Pelodiscus sinensis: one gene and its partner. Each later gene encodes a partner of the first gene's protein in a complex. Links are inferred from orthologs where the notes say so. Each region holds a gene or a part of one and is shown on either strand. Other genes may lie near its edges.

What was found.
Region 2: the proteins of HCRTR2 (region 1) and HCRT are in contact, whole or in part, in a cryo-EM structure (PDB 7L1U), measured with the Homo sapiens proteins. The link is inferred for Pelodiscus sinensis from reciprocal best matches to the Homo sapiens genes HCRTR2 and HCRT. Residues at the interface, in NP_001371201.1 of Homo sapiens: Thr111, Val114, Trp120, Pro131, Gln134, Thr135, Val138, Gln187, Val209, Cys210, Asp211, Phe227, Thr231, Ile320, Ser321, Asn324, Lys327, Arg328, Phe333, Ala334, Thr336, Arg339, Val342, Tyr343, Phe346, His350, Tyr354; in NP_001515.1 of Homo sapiens: Asn89, His90, Ala91, Ala92, Gly93, Ile94, Leu95, Thr96, Met97.

The regions. Positions count from the first base shown.
Region 1 is NC_134713.1:42,992,256-43,003,221, forward strand, and holds the start of HCRTR2 (orexin receptor type 2), read left to right. Parts: upstream 1-6,486; 5' UTR 6,487-6,808; coding exon 6,809-7,037; intron 7,038-10,966. UniProt on the Homo sapiens protein: Nonselective, high-affinity receptor for both orexin-A and orexin-B neuropeptides. Triggers an increase in cytoplasmic Ca(2+) levels in response to orexin-A binding.
Region 2 is NC_134739.1:9,249,614-9,260,981, forward strand, and holds HCRT (hypocretin neuropeptide precursor), read left to right. Parts: upstream 1-6,408; 5' UTR 6,409-8,763; coding exon of another isoform or gene 8,764-8,784; 5' UTR 8,785-8,798; coding exon 8,799-8,822; intron 8,823-10,412; coding exon 10,413-10,847; 3' UTR 10,848-10,952; downstream 10,953-11,368. Other genes in the region: inactive phospholipase C-like protein 2, read left to right, coding at 4,916-5,101. UniProt on the Homo sapiens protein: Neuropeptides that play a significant role in the regulation of food intake and sleep-wakefulness, possibly by coordinating the complex behavioral and physiologic responses of these complementary homeostatic functions.

The DNA of each region.
Region 1 (10,966 bases):
TTTGATGTTCTGCTCTCTTCATCATGAAGATTAGCCATGCAAATAGATTCCTCCCATCAGCAGAGTTTATGCCTCAGAAAATGTAGCAAGAGGGGAATAACAGCCCCTAAGCAAAAAGAACTAGGCATCTCTCTGTTATTTGGACTCTGGAGGCATGAGTTTTCTAGGCATCAGCAAGAGATCTCCAGCTGCTTATCCTGGGTTAAATTCAAAAGGACATAAATAAAATGTCCTTATTAGAAAAGCTTCTATTACCATTTGAAAATTAAGGATGTAACTTATTTGTATATGAGGGTATGTCTACACTACCACCCTAGTTCAAACTAGGGTGATTAATGTAGTCAATCAACGTTGCAAATGAAGCCTGGCATTTAAATATCCCGGGCTTCATTTGCATCTTGCCAGGCGCCACCATTTTTAAATCACCAGTAGTTCGGACTCTGTGCCCGCGGCTACACGCATCACGGAGTAGGTAGTTCAAATTAGGCTTTCTAATTCAAACTACCGTTACACCTCGTTCCACGAGGAATAATGGTAGTTCCAATTAGAAAGCCTAAATCGAACTACCTACTCCGTGCCACCTGTAGCCGTGGGCACGGAGTCCGAACTACCGGGGATTTAAAAATGGCGGCGCCCGGCAAGATGCAAATGAAGCCCGGGATATTTAAATGCCGGGCTTCATTTGCAACTTTGATTGACTACATTAACCACCCTAGTTCGAACTAGGGTGGTAGTGTAGACATACCCTAAATGTTTACATGCTTTAACCCAGGGGTAAGAACCTAAGGCCTGGGGGGCGGATGTGGCCCCTGGTTTGCCTGGATCTGGCCCCTGAGGCTTAGAGCTCCCTTCCCAGCATTGGGAGCCTGCACTGGTGCTTCAGCCCCCCCGGCCAGTCCACCGCAGGGCTGGAGCACACAAAGTCTACTAGCCTGGGCCCCCGTAGGCTCCTGTGTGCAAGGAAATGGGGGGAATGTCTTTCTACTTCTCAGTCAGGGGCCATGTTAGTGAGGATTTGTTTGTTTGTTTGTTTTTGTTTCTCACTTGTGTGAGGCCCCTGACCCAAAAAAGGTTCCCCACCCCTGCTTTAGCCTTTTAAATAACTTTCTTGTTTCCCTTTCCCATTTAATAGATCTTTATATAATATCCTACAAGTGCTGTCTTTGGAGAGAGGTTTAAGGTGCAATTGTCCTGGAGTAATAGACTGAACTAGGAATAAACCAAATACTGCTGTGTCCTTGGTGTAAGGGACAGATCAGGGAGCCAGCTGAGAACTCTGACCCTGCAGGGGTGAAGACACCATAAGGGAGCTCCTTTTTTTTAAGCCAGTCATCATTCACAGCCCTGCAGCACTCATCCTCAGCATCTCATCTGCCTGGAAGGGTGCTGGGGATTGTGTGCAGTGGTGAATGCATGGGGGTGAAGAGCATCTAAATTTAATCTTAATCTTTTCCTTCCCTATATCCTTTGTGTCCTGGCTCCAGATAAGTCCCCTGTGTAATATTTTTCATTTCTTGTGGCTAGTCCTAATTTATTGTGTTATTCTTCTACTGTGTTATATTCCTGGCGAATAGGAATAGTATTGGTCATTTTCCCAAGGGAAGGCCCCCTTGTATTCCAAGCACAGAGAGGAGTCAGTTTTCACCAAGTGTGGAAATAAGGAACCCAGGACTCAATCCATGAGAAGAGAGGAGAGAAGCCATGGGTTTCTGATTAGCAAACATCAGGGGAGGAGGTTTGAGGCATGCCTTGGGAGAGAAGCTACATTTAAATTACAAAACAAGGTGAATTAATGCTGCAACAAATGTAAGACTGAAACAAATGCCAGGCTGCCTACATTGTCTTTAGTTCCATTTTAAGGTGTATAGATGATCACATTCTTTATTCTAAAAATCATGGGTTTGGCTGTGTAATTTCTAATGTAGTGCTCTAGATATCTAGGATGTTGCAGCTATGGCCTGCTCTTCATTTAATATTAATGGCTGTGGGGATTTAAAATTGATAAAAGCTTTTACCATTCATTTATCTTCCTCTCTCTCTGTTTTCTCCCTCTTCCACACTATATTTGAGTTGAGGAGAGCCCTGCTGCTTGTCAGGCATTGCTCAGTGTTGCTGCCAAAGCAGTGGGATTTGTTTGATGCATCTCTTGAAGGCAAGTGCTGTGAGTGGTCCTTCTTTGCAGCTTGACCATGATGTTATGGCAATTGGTAAACAGCCAAGATGCTGAGAGGTAGATAGATCAAGAGGAAAAAAAGGGGGCAGTAGAAGATGGTGAAATTAGAGCAATGGAAGGAAGGTGAGGCGGGGAAGGGCAGATTTCCATGGCCACCTTCTCTGGGGTCCCAATTCAGCAGTCCATTGTTATTCAGCAGCATGAGCTGAAGTACTTTGCTGACTAGGAACAGGCCTAGTCACGAGTTTAGATGCTTTGCTGAATTGGTATCCATGAGCTCATATGACCTTTAAGCAGCAGTCTGTGGACTTCTGACAACATAAATCTTGCTTTCTGTTGTGAAAAATCAAATCTGGTCTCTCATTTCAGATGCTCCTAAGTTCATGCAGAACTCAGTCTTTTTGGTTCTTTGTCACAAAGGTTTAAAAATGAAGAAACTGATCTGTAAAGTAGAAAGAGGTGCTGCTTATTTGTGTTATTAAATATATGTCGGTTATAAAATTCATACTAGCAGAAGGAAAATGTACTTGAAGCAAAAATAAAATCTGAACCCTGAAGTGGGGGGGCTAGATTGGTCTTATCTCCAACTGAATGATGGCAATACCTTTGAGATAGCATAAGCTACAAAATATAAATTGAGTTGGATTAATATTTATATTGTATAATATAATTTTTGTATGTAACATCATAAATTGAAAGCTACAAGATATTTTACTAGGAATGACTGATTTATTTCGGTATTTGTGGAAATTTAAATGAGTGATTATGGGTTAAGTTTGCATATATCAGTCTCTCTTCTTTCACCTAAATGAAATGCCAGACATTAGCCTCACTGGGGGAAAAGGTTGACAGATATAAATTGGAATTTAAGTTTCTTAATTCAGATTTGGTATATTCTCTATAGGCTTGTAAATTTGAAAACATCATTTGTTACATAGTTTGGTTCTGATAAATAAGAAATTGAGTTTAATGCATCAGAGACATTTATAGTTCACATGAATGTACAAGAAGACTAAGGTTTAAATCATAATAGTATTGCTAGAGATGGTGTAATAAAAATAGATAAACAGTCAAATGTAGCCAGTTAAGCTATTATGCTGATATGATTTGGGAACATCTAAAATGTAATAACTAGAGATGGTTTCCCCCTTTAGATGATTATAATGAAAATTAACAAACAAAAATAAAATGTCAATGGGCCAATAGATATTAAATATATTTCCTGAGGAATCTCTGGGGATTGTGTAACTCTACAATTCCAGGTAAGCAAAAAATCTAGCCTTTGAGGCTATACCTTCAGGAGGGGCTACAGTGTGATAGGCCCATTGGCTGATTAATGCAATGTAGAAGTTGTGCCTGGATTCAAACTTTGAGATTGGGGTGATGTGTATGACCAGCATGCTGTGACAACTGATGTAACAGATTAGAAGTTGCACTGGTGAATGAAAAGCAAGTTTAATGAGGTAAGGGTACCAAATCTATCTCAGTGAAGTCAGTGCAATTAGAAAGGCATCCCCAGAGCTAGACTGAACAGGTTTCATAACCCCTACATGTTGAAAAGTGGTAACTTCATATCTCAGCAAATGTTTGTGAGATGGGTCCATGAAAAGGGTGTGGAAGGGAGAAATGAAGGCAAAAAGGAGGAATACATTTATATTATTACTTCCAAAGCCCATTTTCTGGATGTTATTCTCTCCCACACAAGCTGGAAAAGGGAAAGACAGTATCCAAGGTGGCAAAGATGGAGAAGATAGTACAGAAGATGGATTGGCATTTAGATAACGTGGGTGACTGAGATAAAGTAGCTGTGGTGTTTGATTGGCTTGTTTATTGAATATCTTGGTCTCTTGGCTGGTGATTCAGGGTTGCCAGTGGAAATTCAAGACATGTATTGGAAAGAACCATGGAATGTGTGAGACTTGCTACATTCTCTTTTAGTTGCAGGTATATAAATTGTGAGGGATCAAAGTGTAACCCACAAGTCTTTCAAGATGTGAAGAAACTCACCAGTCGATTAAAAGAACAACTGTGGCCATCCATAGGGAGGTCCTCAGCAATGTTGTGCAATTCCCTAGAGAAACTGGATATCTGCTTCCACAATGGAAATCACATCATGATTATGGTGGAAATGGACTTGGCTCCGATATCAGCTATATGCAAGGAAGACTGCAATAATCTTCTCTCTAAGAGTTGCCCTTTGTTTATGATGTTCTTAAATTGTTTTGTGCTGTTTGTCTCATTCATTTACTATTTCCACAACCAGGGAATTCAGTGACACTTCCAAGTACTTTGCTAAAATGCAATATTTTAGTTGGCACATTTACTGGTGGTGGATTGTACAGTTGGAGTCTGCCAGATGGTCTTAGCAGGCTCTAATAAAGCCAGATTCACAAGGAGGGCTGCAGGCAGAAGCTTGAAGCATGCAATATGTCCAGAAGTTTATTATGAAAGCCTTTGACCTTCACTATTGGGGTTTGAAACACATAGCCACTATGTACTTCATCAGCTCCTGAAATAGTTTAGTTATTTTCCATGGAAAGTGGTTGAGGGATTAGAACCCCATACAGCAATGAGGAGATATTCATGTGGTTGCCTCTTGCCTCCTGTTCTTCCAAAAATGTCCTCTGCTGACTCTAGTTTGTGGGGTGTGAGTAAGGGCTCGGGGAATAGGTCTGCCTATTTGACCTGCAAGAGTGACACAGAGACCTTAGGAATTGTTGGCATTACAGGCCCAGGATTCCCAATAAGACCACTGGGGAGAGCCATGCACCATTGATAACACGAGGGAGACAGAGGATGACATCATCTGTGCTTTGATGTCTCTCAATTGGTGGAAGAATGGTGTCTTGCAGAAAATACCATTGAACTGACATCCACAAATCAGAAAACTCAGCAACTTTTTTTGGGGGAGGGTATGATAACTGATTTCAGTAGCTACCCCCATTCTAGCTCTCTTCCACTGCTGATACTCTTCTCCCCAAAAGTGAAGTTAAATTTAGTGATGTGTCAAGCTGGAACAGGACAGGGGAAATGTGGGTGGGAGTACAGAGAGAAGGCTGCATGGAGAAACTTGGGAGGAAAACAAACTGGAGTTACAGAAAGAGGCATGAGAAGAGGAGGCAGAGGGGAAGGGCAACAGCACAGAGAAGGGGCTGACGAGCTAGGGAGGGTAGTTTTGGAATATCAAGGACAGGTGTAAGTGTACATCTAAGGATTCCTAAATGTGAGCCCCACATTGCACAGCACACGTGTATACACAGGCAGTGAGCATACACACTTGCTTACAGGTTGGATTACATATACAGGCAGTCCCCGAGTTACGTGGATCCGACTTACGTAGGTCCCACTGCCTGCGTCCTCCGGGGCAAGAAAAGCTGCGGAGCACGCGGGCAGCAGGACAGCCCAGACGCGCCGCGGCTGTCCCGCTGCCGGTGTCCTCCGAGGCTTTGCTCCCCGTCTCCCTGGTCTGCTGGGGGGGCTCCCCTCCAGCAAACCAGGGAGACGTGGAGCAGCTTTTCTCGCCCTGGAGGACATGGGTGGCGGAGGATGTGGGCAAAGCCTCAGAGGACGCCTGCAGCGGGACAGCCGCGGCGCGTCTGGGCTGTCCTGCTGCCCGCGTGCTCCGCAGCTTTGCTCCGCGTCTCCCTGGTCTGCTGGGGGGGGGGCGCAGCTAGTGCACCTCCCCCCCAGCAGACCAGGCTTTTCTCGCGGAGACACCTGGGGTAGAACAGCTGGGGCGCTGCCAGGTTGGTCCCACAGCGCCGCTCCTCGGCGCTACTGGACCAACCCGGCAGCACCCCAGCTGCTCTGCCCCAGGTGTCCCCAAGTCAGCCGCTGCTGAAACTGACCAGCGGCTGACTACAGGAAGCCTGAGGCAGAGTTGCTCTGCCCCGGGCTTCCTGGAATCAGCCTCTGATCAGTTTCAGCAGCAGCTGACTTGGGGACACCTGGGGTAGAGCAGCTGGGGTGCTGCTGGGTTGGTCCCTGCAGCGCTGAGGTGCGGCGCTGCGGGGACCTACCCGGCAGCGCCCCAACTGCTCTGTCTCAGGCGTCCAAATTCATCCTCTGTTGAAACTGATCAGTGGCTGATTCCAGGAAGCCCAGGGCAGAGCAACTCTGCCTCGGGCTTCCTGTACTCAGCCGCTGGTCAGTTTCAGCAGCAGCTGAATCTGGATGCCAGTTCCGACTTACATACAAATTCAACTTAAGAACAAACCTACAGTCCCTATCTTGTACGTAACCCGGGGACTGCCTGTACTCTCACATTTGGAAGCAAAGTGCCCACTCCTCCTTCTCCCTCTAAGGATTTGCTGTGTATTGCAGAGTCTGTGCCAGAATTATGCATTTGTAAGCATGTGCTGTGCCGGCTCCTCTGTCACAGCAGACTCTGATGCCGAGTCCTCATTCCCTCTCCCAGAGCTGCTGTGTGTGCAGCTTTGCTGAGAAGTGCTGCCAAGGTAGTGGGAGAAGTTGTCAAAGGTTCCCTCATCATTGGCTCTGTAACTTTTCATTTCCTTTTCTCCATTTCTCCTCACACTGGGCTTGCCATTCCACAGCACAAGTGTAAATGGATGGACTTCAGAGAAGCTAGAAGTACTGACCAGGTTTGATCCCAGACCCAGGCTAAAACCAGTGATGTCCGAGACAAAACTGGATAATGAGTCCCCTTCTTGTGGGAACTGGTCATCTGCTCCAGAATGGAATGATACTCGGGAGCCTTTGTCAATCCCCTCTGCTGACTATGATGATGAGGAATTTCTGCGATACCTTTGGAGAGAATATTTGCATCCAAAAGAATATGAATGGGTCCTGATTGCAGGATATATTGTTGTTTTCATTGTGGCTCTCATTGGAAACATCCTAGGTGAGTAGCACTCTGCATTTCTCCTCTGAAGAGTTGTAATATAACCTGTTTGCACGGATTTTCAGGCAGCCTATACTATGAATAAAAGGTAGGTGAGTTAACAGTGGCATCTGGGAACATTGTTTCTTGTATCCGAGAGTGAAAGTTAGATTTAGACAAACAGGGGACATGAATGTGTTTGTATCTGGCAGTTTATTTTGAAATTAAAATGGCTAACTCTTCATGTCATTTGTCATGCTTGGTATTTAAGAGGCTGGGAGCATCATGTTTTGAGAGTGTTAAAAGCAGCTCTTATCACTGTTTTCATTTAGAGAGCTACATTAAGACAGTCGGCTTTCTAGCTGTTTACTAACTAACAATTAGTCATGGTTGTAATTAGAATCCCCAAGAAACAAGCTCATCCAAACTAGGAAGGTTGTGTCAATGAAATGTTTGTTCTCTAATCTCTGTCCAGCTGGCAGTAGTGCTGAAATTCTCCAGCCCCATTCAGATCTTTGCAGACATATGTTTTCCTTCATGTGGTGCTGACAGCTGCTCTTGACAGCACTTCTGTGTCTGGTCATAATGCTGCTTTTCATTCAGAAATTCTCAAACAAGTTAGCAGAGTTTAACTTAGACATTTCAATGCAATGGCTATTTATACTCACCTGACAGGAGCACTCCAGGCACTGACAAATGTGGAAAGCAGATTAAATCAAGAACTTGTTCTTATATCAGTTGTTTGAATAGATTTCTATGCTAGGGTGAATGCTAGGGTTCAAGGATATAACTATGTAGAATGAAGCACTCCCAGCTTTCAGCCAGGGGGAGAAAGCAGACAAAAATCTCAATCTCTCTCTCTCTCTCTCTCTCTCTCTCTTTTCCTACTCTCACCCAAATTTCATTCATCTGTGAAGGAGGAGGAGGAAGGGAGGTAGTGCAGCAGGAAACTAAGAACACTGGCTGCTGCTTCATGCAGGGTTGCTCAGAATAATCTATTGGGAAAAAGTGCGGGGGACTTTGTTTGGGGGGACATGGAGGAGGGAACCTGGGGAATTTGAGGGAGGTGAACTGGTGAGTAAGGAAGGCAGAGAAAAGAGGAGGAAGGAATAGGAAGATGGAGGGATTTGAAAGTGAAGCAGAGCAAAGGGGAAGGTTGGAGGTTCTTTACCAGGTAGACTAAGAGAAAGAATGTCCAAGTGAGTGATGGAGGCAAGGAAGACATGAGGCAGGGAATGGAGAAAAGCAATATCATGAGTGAAAGTTAAAGTGAAACCTTAGGGCAGAAAGTCATGGGAATGTTAAGAGTCAAGATAGGGGAAAATGGGGATGGAGGAGTAACTGAGAATTTCGAAGTGAAACAACTGGGATATATTTGAGGTAGAGGGAGGGAGGAATGGTGCAGGGCCAGAGTGTGGAGGGAGCAGAAGAAAGAACAGGCAGGAATCTGGAGTATGGCAACAGTGAGAATTGTTGAAAAGCAAAGGCAGAAAGAGGATGAGGGGGGAAGGAAGGATGGGGGAAGAGGAGCTTGTGTATAAGAAACAGATTTAAATACAGAGAAGAGTGACTGGGGGAGATGGAAGATGGCTTTGGAATAAGGAGAAGAAGCTAGGGTGTTTGGGGAAGCTGGGAGTGACTGAAGAGAGAAAATGTGAAGGGATTTATCAGAAGCCAGTATCCTTAGAAGCTAAAAGTAGCTCTCGGGTAAAATAATGGAATAATTTAGGGAAATAACATATATAACTCTTTGGAATCTAACGTAAGCAGAGATTTTAAAAAAAACACTCCAGCAGTTATGTCCAAGGCTTCATTTCTAGGACAAATAAATCATGCCACACAACTAGTGGAGAATTAAGGCTACATGTAGGGACTGTGCTTAAAGTTCTTGAAACTACAGGGTACTGGACTCACGGGGGGATTAAAATGCCCAGATATCTTTTGGGTTCACTCACAACCAAACTTGCATCATCAGTGAGATGCTGAGTTACACAGGAAAGAGTTTTATAACCCAAGAAGTAAAAAATGCAGCCACAAGAGAAGTCATCTTGGACTAACTTGCTACCAGTTAGGAGGAAGTGATTAAAAATATGAGGCAAATAAAGAAACGATATGGTGTGTTTGTGAGCTACTTGAATTCAACAGTGTAATGAAGGGGTTAATAAAAGTATTAAAATATCCATTGATCAGAGTCAAATGGGAGGAATTATTCAAGTCATAATGGTAGAAAAAGACTGAACAATCTGAACATACCTCAATGAAGGCAGAACTTCTCGGGAAGTTAGTGGGGGAAGAAGAGACAAGAGGACTGGCAGGAACAAGACATGGCTACTATAATGAGAATGGAAAAGGGAGGAAGTCAACCAAACAAGACTGTATGGGCTGGCTGAAAAAATTGTGCCAGTTATGTGAAATAAGAATCTGAAAGGTGTTGGTCCTGTAACACACGTATTAGATGTAGTGTGACAAGGGAGAAAATTTCCGTATTGACTCTCATTTTAATTTTTCCCATGGTTTCCATTTTTTAGTTGTATAATTTCTCACTGGCAGTTCAGATACCCTAGCAAATTAAAATAACTACCATTCTAATGGATAATTGACATTTACATTCTGCAGTAACCACTTTTTAAAATAAACCCTTTTATGGATTCAGTACATTTCCCAATAGCCACATCCCCCCACATGTGGTACCCATTAATGGTCCCTAGACCACAGGTGGAGAAACTTCAACATTTTTATTTAAAAGAAACCACTAAGATGTTCCTGCATTAAGAATTAAAATAAAGTCCTATTTTCACCCTGTATTGTAGCTACCAGTGGTTAGCAGATTTCCATCATTTAAATGTTTTTCCCTCACTTTAGCATGAGTGTCTCTTGGACCATTTCTAAGGGTATGTCAACACTACCCCGCTAGTTCGAACTAGCGGGGTAATGTAGGCATACCGCACTTGCAAATGAAGCCCGGGATTTGAATTTCCCGGGCTTCATTTGCATAAGTGGGGAGCCGCCATTTGCATAAGTGGGGAGCCACCATTTTTAAAACCCCGCTGGTTCGAACCCCATGCAGCGCGAAGTGTACCAGTAGTTCAGAATAGGAAGCCTAATCCGAACTACCTAGTTCGAGCCCCGTGTAGCCGCGCTGCACGGGGTTCGAACGAGCGGGGTTTTAAAAATGGCGGCTCCCCGCTTATGCAATTGAAGCCCGGGAAATTCAAATCCCGGGCTTCATTTGCAAGTGTGGTATGCCTACATTACCCCGCTAGTTCGAACTAGGAGGGTAGTGTAGACATACCCATAAGGACATAAGATGTCATTGACACAAATCTTGTTTTTTAGTGGGAATTGGAGAACTGCAGCAACAACTGAAGAGATGCTGGATCTTTTGAGAGGACACTTTACAGGGGTGCTTGAAAATCCAGATTAATAAGCAGGAAGTGTTAGAATGTTTGAACAGTAAAATGCAGACATAAAAGTGGCTGGCTCTGCAAGCCTAAGATCATCTGAAGAAGGAATGGCTAGTGAAGTCTGAGATTTGGTGAATCTCATGCTAACTGAATTTTCCATTTTAAGTAAAACTATTTTGCAAAATCTTTTTCTGTAATTTAACACAATTATTTTAGTACTACAATTATAACATTTTTCTCTCTAAAGAGGAACTTGTGCAACTTGTGCTATGTATTAGAGATTGTAGAAAAAAAGTTAGGCTGTCCCAAGTGACTTGTAGCTACATATATTTGATGAAGTCCTTAGCTGGTGTATGATAGTATAGTACCCTTGTCTTCAATGAATCTACCACCACTTTACACAATTTGAAGATCTGACAGTAGTGCATTGTTATTAAATTTGGTTTCTTTTTTCATTTTTGTTTTTTATTCAGCAATCCTCATAACCAGAATAGAAACTCAATACAAATTCAGTTGAACCTTGGTCATGGTGCTAATCGTAGAGAT
Region 2 (11,368 bases), on another chromosome or scaffold:
CTCCGCTGGACCCTCTCCAATGCGTCCACATCCTTTCTATAGTGGGGGGTCCAGAACTGGACACAATACTCCAGGTGTGGCCTCACCAGAGCCGAATAAAGGGGAATAATCACTTCTCTATCACTTCTCTAGATCTGCTGGCAATGCTCCTCCTAATGCACCCTAATATGCCATTAGCCTTCTTGGCTACAAGGGCACACTGTTGACTCATATCCAGCTTCTCATCCACTGGAACCCCCAGGTCCTTTTCTGCAGAACTGCTACTTAGACAATTGGTCCCCAGCCTGTAACAATGCTTGGGATTCTTCCATCCCAAGGGCAGGACTCTACACTTGTCCTCATCAGATTTCTTTTGGCCCAATCCTCTAATCTGTCTAGGTCACTCTGGACTCTATCCCTGCCCTCCAGGGTATCTACCTCTCCCCCTAGCTTAGTGTCATCTGCAAACTTGCTGAGGGTGCAATCCATCCCCTCAGCCAGGTTATTAATAAAGATGTTGAACAAAGCTGGCTCTAGAACCGAACCTTGAGGCACTCTGCTAGAAACAAACTGCCAACCTGACATTGAGCCGTTGATCACTACCCATTGGGCCCAACAGTCTAGCCAGCTTTCTATCCATCTTACAGTCCATTTACCAATCCATACTCCCTTAACTTGCTGGCAAGAATATTGTGGGAGACCGTATCAAAAGCCTTGCCAAAGTCAAGGTATATCACATCCACTGACTTTTCCATGTCCACTGAGCCAGTTACCTCATCATAGAAGCTAATCAGATTGGTCAGGCACGACTTGCCCTTTGTGAATCCATGCTGACTAGTCCTGATCACCAGGGCTCACCGATGCTGATCACTTTCCCCTCTTCCAAGTGCCTCAAAATGGATTCCTTGAGGATCCCCTCCATGATTTTTCCAGGGACTGAAGTAAGGCTGATTGGTCTGTAGTTCCCTGGATTGTCCTCCTTCCTTTTTTTAAAGATGGGCGCTACATTTGCCTTTTTCCAGTCATGTGGGATTTCTCCCGATCTCCACGAGTTTTCAAAGATAATGGCCAAAGGCTCCGCAATGACACTTGCCAGCTCCCTCAGTACCCTCGGATGCATTAAATCTGGACCCATGGATTTGTCTAGCTTTTCTGAATAGTTCCTCACTTCTTCTTTCCCCGCTAAGGGCTGTCCACCTCCTTCCCCTACTGCGTTGCCTAGTGCATTTGTCTGAGAGCTCACCCTGTCTGTGAAGATCGGGGCAAAGAAAGCATTGAGTACTTCAGCTTTTCCCACATCATCTGTCACTAGGGGTGTGTCTAGACTACATGCCTCCGTCGACGGAGGCATGTAGATTAGCCAGATCGGCAGAGGGAAATGAAGCCGCAATTAAAATAATCGCGGCTTCATTTAAATTTAAATGGCTGCCCTGCTCTGCCGATCAGCTGTTTGTCGGCAGATCGGGGCAGTCTGGACGCGCTGCGCCGACAAAGAAGCCTTTCTTGATCGGCACAGGTATGCCTCGTGAAACCAGGTTTACCTGTGCCGATAAAGAAAGGCTTCTTTGTCGGCGCGTCGCGTCCAGACTGCCCCGATCTGCCGACAAACAGCTGATCGGCAGAGCGGGGCAGCCATTTAAATTTAAATGAAGCCGCGATTATTTTAATCGCGGCTTCATTTCCCTCTGCCGATCTGGCTAATCTACATGCCTCCGTCGACGGAGGCATGTAGTCTAGACACACCCCTAGGTTACCTCCCTCATCCAGTAGGGACCTCACACCCTCTCTGATCACCCTCTTATTGCTAACATGCCTGTAGAAACCTTTCTTGTTCCCCTTCACATCCCTTGCTAGCTGCAATTCCAATTGCGCTTTTGCCTTCCTGATAACTCCCCTGCATTCTCGAGCTATATATTGATACTCCTCCCTAGTCATCTGTCCAAGTTTCCACTTCTTGTCAGCTTCCATCCTGCTCACCCAGGATGTCCCCGGTAAGCCAATCTGGGCACCTACCTCATTTGCTTTTCTTGCTTCGCATCGGGATGGTTTCTTCCTGTGCCTTCAATAAGGCTTCTTTAAAATACTGCCAGCTGTCCTGGACTCCTTTCCCCTTCATGTTAGCATCCCTGGTCCCAGCTCTGCCACCAGACTCCCTTGAGTCTGTCCCTTCCCTGGGTCCATTTCCCCACCTATTCCTGGGACAGGGCGAGGGCTGAGGCTGACCTGACCTGGAGAAGCCCCAGGCCCTGCTCCTGCAGGCAGTGAGAGCCAAGCACTAGGGATGTAGTAGTGTAGAAGCAAAAGCTTATAGGTTAATGCTAGAGACTACACGCATCCCCCCTTCCCCCTCCCTGTCCACCCCTCTCCAGTACATTTTTTAGCAGGCTGGCCAGCAGCCCAGCTCAGTCCTGGCTTGTGCCGGGTCCAGGACCTACCCCCGCTGCAACTCTGCATTTCTAATATATTAGGAGCCAGCCAGGCAGGCAGCCCGGCTCAGTTCCGGCTCGCACCGGGTCTGGGAGCTCAGACCTCCCCTGGAAAGGGGCTGCTGCCTCTGTATCAGAGGCAGCAGCACAAGGTGACAGGCAGCCGGTCCACGAGGGGGAGCTGGTTTTTAAACTGGATCCCCTTGCAGACCAGCTCCCACCTGGCTCCCTGCACTGCTGCCTCTGATACAGAGGCAGCAGCGCGGAGTGGCAGGGGGCTCCTCAGGAGTGGGGCTGGAGCGCACTGGCTGCTGGGCCCACCCCTGGGGACTATCGAATAGTCGAGTAACGGATAAGAACTCATGAGGTTAATCGACTCTTCAATTAACCGATATTTACCATCCCTACTCAGCACAGTGGTGTTTCCTCCGCCACTTGGCGTGCTGGGCCGTGATGCCGGGACGTGCCTCGGGGCTCAGGGGAGCTGGTGGCTCTGAGGAGGGACCAGCACCCTGTGATCTGGGCTTGTACTGGGCACCCCCCTGTGCTCGCTCTGCCTGTGTGGGAACGCTGAGCTCCTGGACTACCCTGCCAAGGGACCATCCAGCCCAGCTCCCATCAGCTGTTCTTGGGGGGGCCCCAGTATCCTGGCCTCCCCCTACCCACCACACCTGGCTGCCATAGTTTGGGTCACGTGGTCCCTGCTGGGCCATGGGGCACGTGCAGATGAGGGCAGCTCTAGGCCCTTGGACTCGGCTGTGCCCTGCCTGAGCCTGGACCGGGGCCCCACTGTTGTGGGCATGGGGTGGGATGTGGGGAGACCCCAATCTTGCTTGCATGGGCCCAGTCAGAGACAGGTTGGGTAAGGCACCGTGCCTGCCCTACGATGATCCTGTGCTGCCACCTAGGGGCCGTGTGGGGCTCAGGCCACCTCCCTGAGCAAGCACCCTTCCTGGCTGGGCCATGGCTAAGGGGGCTTTACGGTGCTGCCCTGGGGAGGTTGGGGCCAGCGGCACATGGGGCGGCTGCACCCCCGGCTGCAAGTGGTTTCCATCACGTCCAGGGGTCACAGTTCGGTTCAGTGGCTCTCAGCTCCCCTCCCTGTTCCCACACCCCCTGCCCACAGAGGGATGCGTTCTGGCAGGTTCTTGCTGCTCCCAGCTGGGCGCGGTGGGGTCTGCAGCACGCCAGGCTGTGCTGGTGCCGCTGCGGCAGCGTGGACCCACGTTCCCTACTCCCTAGAGGTGGTAAATATCGGTTAATTAAATAGTCGATTAACCTCATGAATTCTTATCGGTTACTCGATTCGTCTGTCGTCCCGGGGGGTGAGGCCGGCAGCCAGTGCAATGTGGCCCCAGTCCCGAGGAGCCCCCTGCCATCCTCGGGGTGGGCAGCAGTGCAGGGTGCCAGGCGGGAGCTGGTCCACGAGGGGAGCCAGTTTAAAAACCAGCTCCCCTCGCAGAGTGACTGCCTGCCATGGTGCCACCCTGCGCTGCTGCCTCTGATACAGAGGCAGCAGCGCAGGGTGGCAGCAGCCCCTATACAGTGGGGGTCTGAGCTCCTGGACCCAGCGTGAGCCAGAACTGAGCCGGGTTGCCTGCCCACCTGGCTCCTAATACACTTGAAATGCAGAGTGCAGGGTAGGTCCCAGGAGCCAGGCTGCTATCAAATTTACTAGCGGGGGAAGGAGGAATGTGTGTAGTCTACAGCGTTAACTGATAAGCTTCTGCTTCTCGATGAATTGGTTAGTCGACTACACTATGACATCCCTACTTCTCCCCGCACAACACCCCCTGCCGGCTTGCACCGGGCAGGCACAGAGCTGCAGTACCCAGCCTGGACTCCGGGTGGCCCCAGAGACAGGCACCAAAGCGGCTCGTGAGCCGTAAAGGGGGCCGGGCGTGGCTCCCGCACCGCTGCAGCCAGGCGGGTGCCCTGTGCGCAGGACTGGGCAGGAGAACCCCAGCCCCAGGCTGTGCTAGCAAAGGGTCCCCCCACGGACCATGTAAACACACCTCAGCTTGGACCTAGAGGGGAGAGGGAGTCTCAGCGATTCCAGCCACATGTGAGCTGGACCCCCGTCCCAGAGGCCGTGGCTGGTATTCCAGCCTGAGGAGCAACTTGCAGCCTGGGGCTGTTCTTAAGCGGGTGTCACCAGGGAGTCTCTAGAGCCGGTGTCTCCCGGGATTCTGAAGAGCGGGGATGCTGTCAGCGGCGAGGGGTCTCCTGCAGGTGTGGTGGGTCCGGGGGTCTGTGTGAGGCAGGCCAGGCGGCGTGATCACCTTGCTCGCTTCTGCCCTTGGTCTCTGAGCTCCGAGGCCCCGGGCAGGGCTGTGCCGGGCAGGGCTGTGCCGAGCTGGCTGGGGCGGAGGGGCGGGGACACTGTGTGTCTCATGGAGCAGAGGCTGTGCTTTAGGGGCAGCCGCTGAGCAATGACTCTGCCTGGGGAGGGAGTGTGGGGGCCCCCCTCATGTGCACCCCCCCTGACCTTTGGCCTCCCCCCGCTGCAGGGCCAGGCCGACCTCCTGAAGCACGCCAAAGCCGAGGCGCTGGACAACCTGTGGCAGATCCACAACGCGGGCCAGTCATGTGGCATCGGCAGGAACGGCTCCGCCTCCCCCGACCTCGGCCGGGGCCGGGTCCCGCTGGAGCCCATCTCTGAGACAGAAGGGGGCAGCGACACAGGGTCCTGCTGACCATGGGGCAGGGCATGGGGGCCAGGACTGAGCCAGCGTCCCTGGCGGAGGGGGCACCCTGCAGCGTCTCCGTCGCCCGTGGCCCCCAGCGCTCCTGCCATGGACCCAGGATTGTACAGGCGTTGGCCCCGCCCGAGGGGCCCGCAACTCCTAGGCTCTGAACCACGCGTGTGAAAGACACGAGCCCCGTGCAGCGCTGGCTGCCGGCGGGTGGGGACTGAACTGCCTATCCCAGGGCCATCTAGACAGGGGGTTCGGGTGGGGGCGGGGCTGGCGCTCTGCCTGGCCCCTGGCTGGGCTGGGGGGTGAGTGTCAGGCAGGGACGTGGCTCCGGAACTTGTGGCTCCTGCAGCAGCTCTGGGGCAAGGTGCTGGGAGTGGGAGAGGGAGCCGGGCTGGCTCCAGCCTGCATTTCACAATCAAACTGGTACCCAGAGCCCCCAGACCCCTGATCCTCCCTCCATGCCCCCCCCTCCCCGCTCTGACTGCGCTTTCTGTAGCAGCAGCTCTGCCTGCGGCAGGTGGCTGTGGGGGAGCATTGGGTTAAGTCGGCTGTGAAAACTCTTCCCCCCTCCCCGTGCAGGTGCAGCGGCTGGTCCTGTGGTGCGGGGGGTTGGTGTTTGCCCAGAGACGGACCCCTCCCCCCTCCGCACGGCAGGGCCACGGCAGTATCTGGCAGCTCTAGGGGCACCCGCGGGCGCCCAGCGAGCAGACGGGGTGGGAGGGGCACCGAGCGGACCACACCTGGCCCCTCTCGCCACCCGCTTGCCACACTGGTTCCCAGCTCAGGGCTGGGGCATTTGCCTGCGCCGGGCTCAGCCCTGCAGCTTCCAACCTGAGCTACCCCAGGGCTGGGAGGGGCCAGACAGGATGGTTCCCCCTTTTCCGGGGCTGCCCTCTGGCCCATCTGCTCTAGAGAATGTTCCCGGATAGGCTCAGAGTTCATGGGCTGCCCTCCCCCCCAAGTCCCATATAGGGCTGAGAGTGGGGGGAGGCCCAGAGCAGGGAGGTGTGTGGCTCAGGAAGCCACGCACCATCCCTGTGGTTCCTTGGGTGGGGAGGGGTGGAGTCGCAGAGCCTGGAAGCCCAACATTGGCCGGGGTGTCCACCCCCCGCGCCCTGTGTGTTCAGAGCTGAATGAAAGCAGTGGCATGTTATAAAGAGCCTCCCCCCTCACGCTGGTGTGCCTGTCTCTGAGATGGGGTGGGGGCTGGCTGCACTCCGGAGACGGGCAGGTGCCCTGGGCGGCAGGGCCTGGGAGGTCACGTGTGGGTCTGGGGGATCCTATGGGCAAGCTGGCCCTTAGCAGCCAGGAGCCGTGCTGGGCCTGGCATGGGGCAGCCCTGGGGTGCAGGCAGCCCACAGCGCCCCCACATCCCAGACTGCAGTGGCCTTAACCTGCGAGGGTTCCTGGGTGGGGGGCACTGTGCTGCTCCCATGGTGACTGCATGGGCCCAGGGACACCAGGCCCAGGGAAGGAGCGGGATGGGGGTGGGGGGTGTGCAGACTTTTGCTGCTGTGACGCTGGGCTGGCCTGGGCTCCCAGCCTGCAGGGGAGGCAGCGGTAACGTGCCCTACTCTTGCGCCATTCCTGGCCAGGACGCCTGCCGCTTTGGCCACATTACTGTCCCCCGACCCTGGCCCGTTGCCGTGGTGACTGGCCCATAGCCACGTGCCCTTGGCTTTCTGGGATGGAGATCCTGTCCTCCCTCTGGGCCCATGGGGAAAGCTCCCCTGGCAGCGGGGCGGATGGGGCTGGTGAAGCTCTCACACCCTAGAGTTGAGGAAAACGCCTCCTGGCCTAGCTTTGCCGGGCTGCTGCTGCACCCCGGATCCCGGCCCGGGAGGGGGAGGCCCAGAAACGCGGCCCCCTCCCCGGGAGCAGGGCTCCCTACGGACCTCGGGCCCGTGTCAGCTGTGTGCTTTATCCCCCCCACCCCACCTGTGTGCAGTCCAGGCCGGGCCCACGTCAGCTCCCCACACGCAGCCATGGGGCCTTGGCCTGTATCTGGGGGTTTTCAGCCAGGGCTGCCCCCACAGTGACGGCACTGACAGCCTCTCCCCCCGGGGGGCTGGGTTGCTGGGGTGGCTCTGCGTCACTGACCCACAGGGCATGGCTCTGCCCCCTGCTCAGTCCCCTTCAGGGCTCGGTGCATCTGGGCTCATTTCTCACAATGCCAGCCCCTGCTCCTGGTAGCCTGGGTGCTGTATGGAGAGTCAGCCCCCACCCCCATCAGCCCCATGTCAGCTGGAGGTCTCCAGCCCGTGCTGCCTGTAGTGCTGTGGGATGTAGGGGGCAGCTTAGGGCTAGCGGAAGTAGTCAGCTATGTGCCACGCTGCTGTTCCTGCCCTTAGAGGTGCTGGGGAGAGTCCTGGCTTCCGGGAGGGGGGGGGTCTTGGTCCCCATGAGAGCACTGGGTGGCTGCCATGGGCCCAGGCTGCCTGGGATGCTGCTGATAGGCCCAGCCAGACTGAAGTCACACGCACCCCCAGGCCTGGCAGGCCATGAGAACGGCACGTTTCACCCCTGGGCTGTGGCCACGGGGCCGTTCTGGCATGGCCACGGGCTGGGGGTGCTTCTGCCACCTCTGAGCAGTGGCCTATGGCTGGGCAGGGTTGGGGGAGCCGTGTAAGCCCCAGGGGCAGAAGGCACCTTGTGTCACGCTACTGACCCCTCCTGGCTGAGGCAGGAGCTGCAGGGAGCCCTCGCCAGCCTGCCGTGGCCCTGCTGCAAAGGGGGCTGCGGAGTTTGCCCTGTGCCGTGGGACCGACGGCCTGTCCCGGGGGCCACCCCCATGCTGCTCCCGGGGGCGATCCAGCTTGCAGAGCCGTGCGTATGGCTGGGGACAGATGCTAGCCTGGGGGCGGCAGTGGGGCAGTTCCTACGGCTGCCCATCCCTGGCCCAGATCCACCCTGGGGCAGCAGCAGCTCAGAGAGTCCGACGGGGCCCCGGGGCTCAGCAGGGAGCCCTGGAGGCCCTGGCTGGAGGAGTAATAACCCAACTCCCTGCTTTCTTGCCCTCACCGGTGCCCCCACTATAAAAACTGTTCCAGCCCCTCTAGTGGGGGAATTCTCCCGCAGGCAGGGCCTGGGGATCCGGAGGCGCACCGTGCCACGAGCGCACAGGGCCACGCCAGCGCCTCTGACGGGTGCAGCTTGGCTGTTGGTCACCCTTTGTCGGGACGCGGTAATTAGCCTAATGGGGCCCAGTCTCCCCCCTCCCTGCCTGGGGGCTGCTATTGTCTCCCCTCCCTTCCCAACCGCCGACCTTCCGGCTGCTTTGTGCCGCGCAGGCTGGCGGATTCCTTAGGAAATTACAGGCTCATTAGCGCCAGGGTACGCGGCCTGTCTCCAGCCAGCACGGCCACCAGGCGGCCGGGGCATAATGGGGAGTCACAAATGAGGGAACGGGCCTGGCCCGTCTCCAAGCAACGGGGAACAATGGGCGCGTGTCGCCCAGAGACAGGCCCTTCCTGCAGCCCCGGCCCCACGGCTGCCGGGGCTATTTTTGGCAGCACTGTTGTGTGGGGGCAGGGAATGAGTTTCAGGGTGGCCCAGCCCTATATAAGCCCTGGCTGCCCGGGAGCTCGGCTCAGGGTGTTGAGGCACCTCACCGGGTCATGCCATAGCTTCGCGCCGTCCCTTGAAGACTTCTCAGAGCGATGGCAGCGCCCAATGCCAAGGTACGGGCCAGGGCATGCGGGGGAGCAGACCCCAAAGGGTGAGTGCTGTGGCATGAGGGTGGCTTTCCTCCCCAGCAAGGTTCCCCTGCTGCGTTCCCGAGGGAAACCCTGCCAGCCACGGCACCAAAGGCTGGTGTGTCGCAATGTGTCCCAGCCCCGCGCCCGCGGGCAGTTCTGGGGAGGAGCCCAGCACATCAGGCCCTGGGGGGATGCAGGCCAGGGAGCAAGTGGCGTCTGCTTTGACTCTTCCTGGTGTCTCCTGATCGCCGACCTGGCACCTGTGGCCTGAGCCACCTTGGCCGTGAGGCTACGGTGTCAATTGCTCCCTGCTCAGAGCTGTGGTGCGTCGCACGGGGAAGCGCAGCCCTCACTTAGGGTTGCCAGGTGTCCGGTTTTCGCCCAGACATCTGGTATGTTGGTTTGGGTTTTTTTTTTCTCTTTCTCAAGAACTTTGGCTCCCCCCCCCCCCTTTTTTTTTTCCTCCATCAATTTTTTTCCTGCCATGTTCGGGGGTTTTTGTGAAAGCATCTGGCAACCCTGACCTCGCTGGGCGCCGGGCAGTGCACAACCGAGCCCGCAGTCAGAGTGAAAGGGAGACTGGGCAGCTACAACATGTAACGCCTCCCTGACCCCGCCAGGGGCCTGCGGCAGCTGGGGCACGACCCCTGCCAGCCACGCACATAACAGGCTGAGCTGCTCACCAGCACCAGTCCCTGCCTTGCCCCAGCAGGCTCCCTGGGGGCAGCTTTGTCTCCATGACGCACCCTCCGCCAGCCAGGGGGCCAATTAGTGCTAATTGCCACTGTGGCTGCTTCTCCCTTATGGAAATGGGGGGGGGGGGGGGGGGGCTTTCTACAGCGTTGCCATGGGGCGAGGGGCAGAGAACAGTGAGTGAGTCTGGCCCCTTTGGCGCTTTGCAGCAGGTCACTAGGGCCTGTGCACAGGGTGTGTGGCAGCTAGCGCTCCTGGGCTACGTCTCGATTTTTCGTAAAAAGGATGCAAATTAGACGTATCGCAATTGCGAATGAAGCGGGGATTTAAATCTCCCCCGCTTCATTAGCATAAAAATGGCTGCCGCTCTTTTTCGGCACGGAGCTTTGCCGGAGAAAAGCGCCAGTCTAGACGCGGATCTTTCGGAAAATAAAGCCTTTTCCGAAAGATCCCTTAGCCCTCTTAAAATAAGGGTCTAGTCCCAGCTGCGGGAGGGCAGTATGGGCTAGTGGTTAGGGGGCAGGAGGCCCACAAGAATGTTGCGCAACCCAAGCCCTGGAGGTGGCCCTGGGAGAGTGGGGCATGCTGGGTATTTTGGGGGCAGTGTTTGCGGAGAGTTCACAGTGGGGCAGGGTAGTGAGGTGGCGCCCGCGTGGGTTTTCTGGGAGAGGGAGGGGCTAGGCCTGTGAGGTTGGGGGGAGCGGTTTGGGGGACCTTGTTGGGGCCCTCCACGGGCTGGTCTTTGGTACCAGCCAATCTCTCCTTGGTGGGGTCGGCACCGCAGGGCGTCTTGCCGGGGCTCTCAGAGCCCAGATGCAAAGCTAGATGGGCCCCTGGGCTGAGCTGGGGTGTCGCTGGGTTTATCCCCGTTGACACCCGCCTGGCCCTGCGCTCACACTTGCCTCTTGTGCTCACAGATCCACAAGGCCTCCTGCCTCCTGCTCCTGGCCCTGCTCTGCTCCCTGGCTGCGGCCGGGCAGAGCATGCCCGTGTGCTGCCGCCAGAAGACCTGCCCATGCCGGGTCTATGACGTGCTGCACGGCCTGGGGAACCATGCTGCCGGCATCCTCACACTGGGCAAGAGGAGGAGCAGCTCGCAAGCCTTCCAGAGCCAGCTCTACCGCCTGCTGCACGGCTCCGGCAACCACGCTGCCGGCATCCTCACCATGGGCAAGCGGGAGGACCTGGCCCCAGAGCAGCCAGCCTCGGCCTGCCGGGACGCCTCCCCCTACCCCACCGGCCTGCTGCCTCTAGCCCCGTGTGCTGCCAACACTGACCCTGCCAGCACCAGGGAGTGCCTGGCCCCGCTTGACCAGGGCCAGAGCGGGGTGGCTGCAAAGAGCTTTTCCTGAAGTGGCCAGAGGTGGGGGGAGCAGCAGCCCGAGGGCAGGGAGGACCCACAGGGACTCTTTTAATGACCACGGGCCATTTACAAATAAACCCCTGCCTGAGGCTCAGGGCTGTCTGCCTGGCGTGTTGTCTCACGGGACTGCAATGGGGTGGGCATACCCGGGGGCCTGGCCGGAGTCCCCTGCAGCCAGCTGCCAACCTGAGGCGATGGTGCCACCCTGAGCAGAGCGAGTTCAGAACGTGGCAGCTCTCCTGCCCTCACCCATGCTCCTGGCGGGGGTGTCTGCTGCGCCATGACGAAGGGGGGGGGGGGGTGGCCTCTCGAGAAAGACCAAAGAGGCAGGTTTGCAATGAGCTGTGCACCCAGGGGGCTCTGCCCTCCTTGACTTACAGGCCACTCGAGGCTGGGCTGGGATGGGAGCGGGCAGAGCTGGCTGGGACGGCTTGGCTCTGAGCCCCCAGCACCCTGTGTATGCACTGCGGACACCCAGCACCCGGGCGGCTGATCTGCCACTAGCAGGCC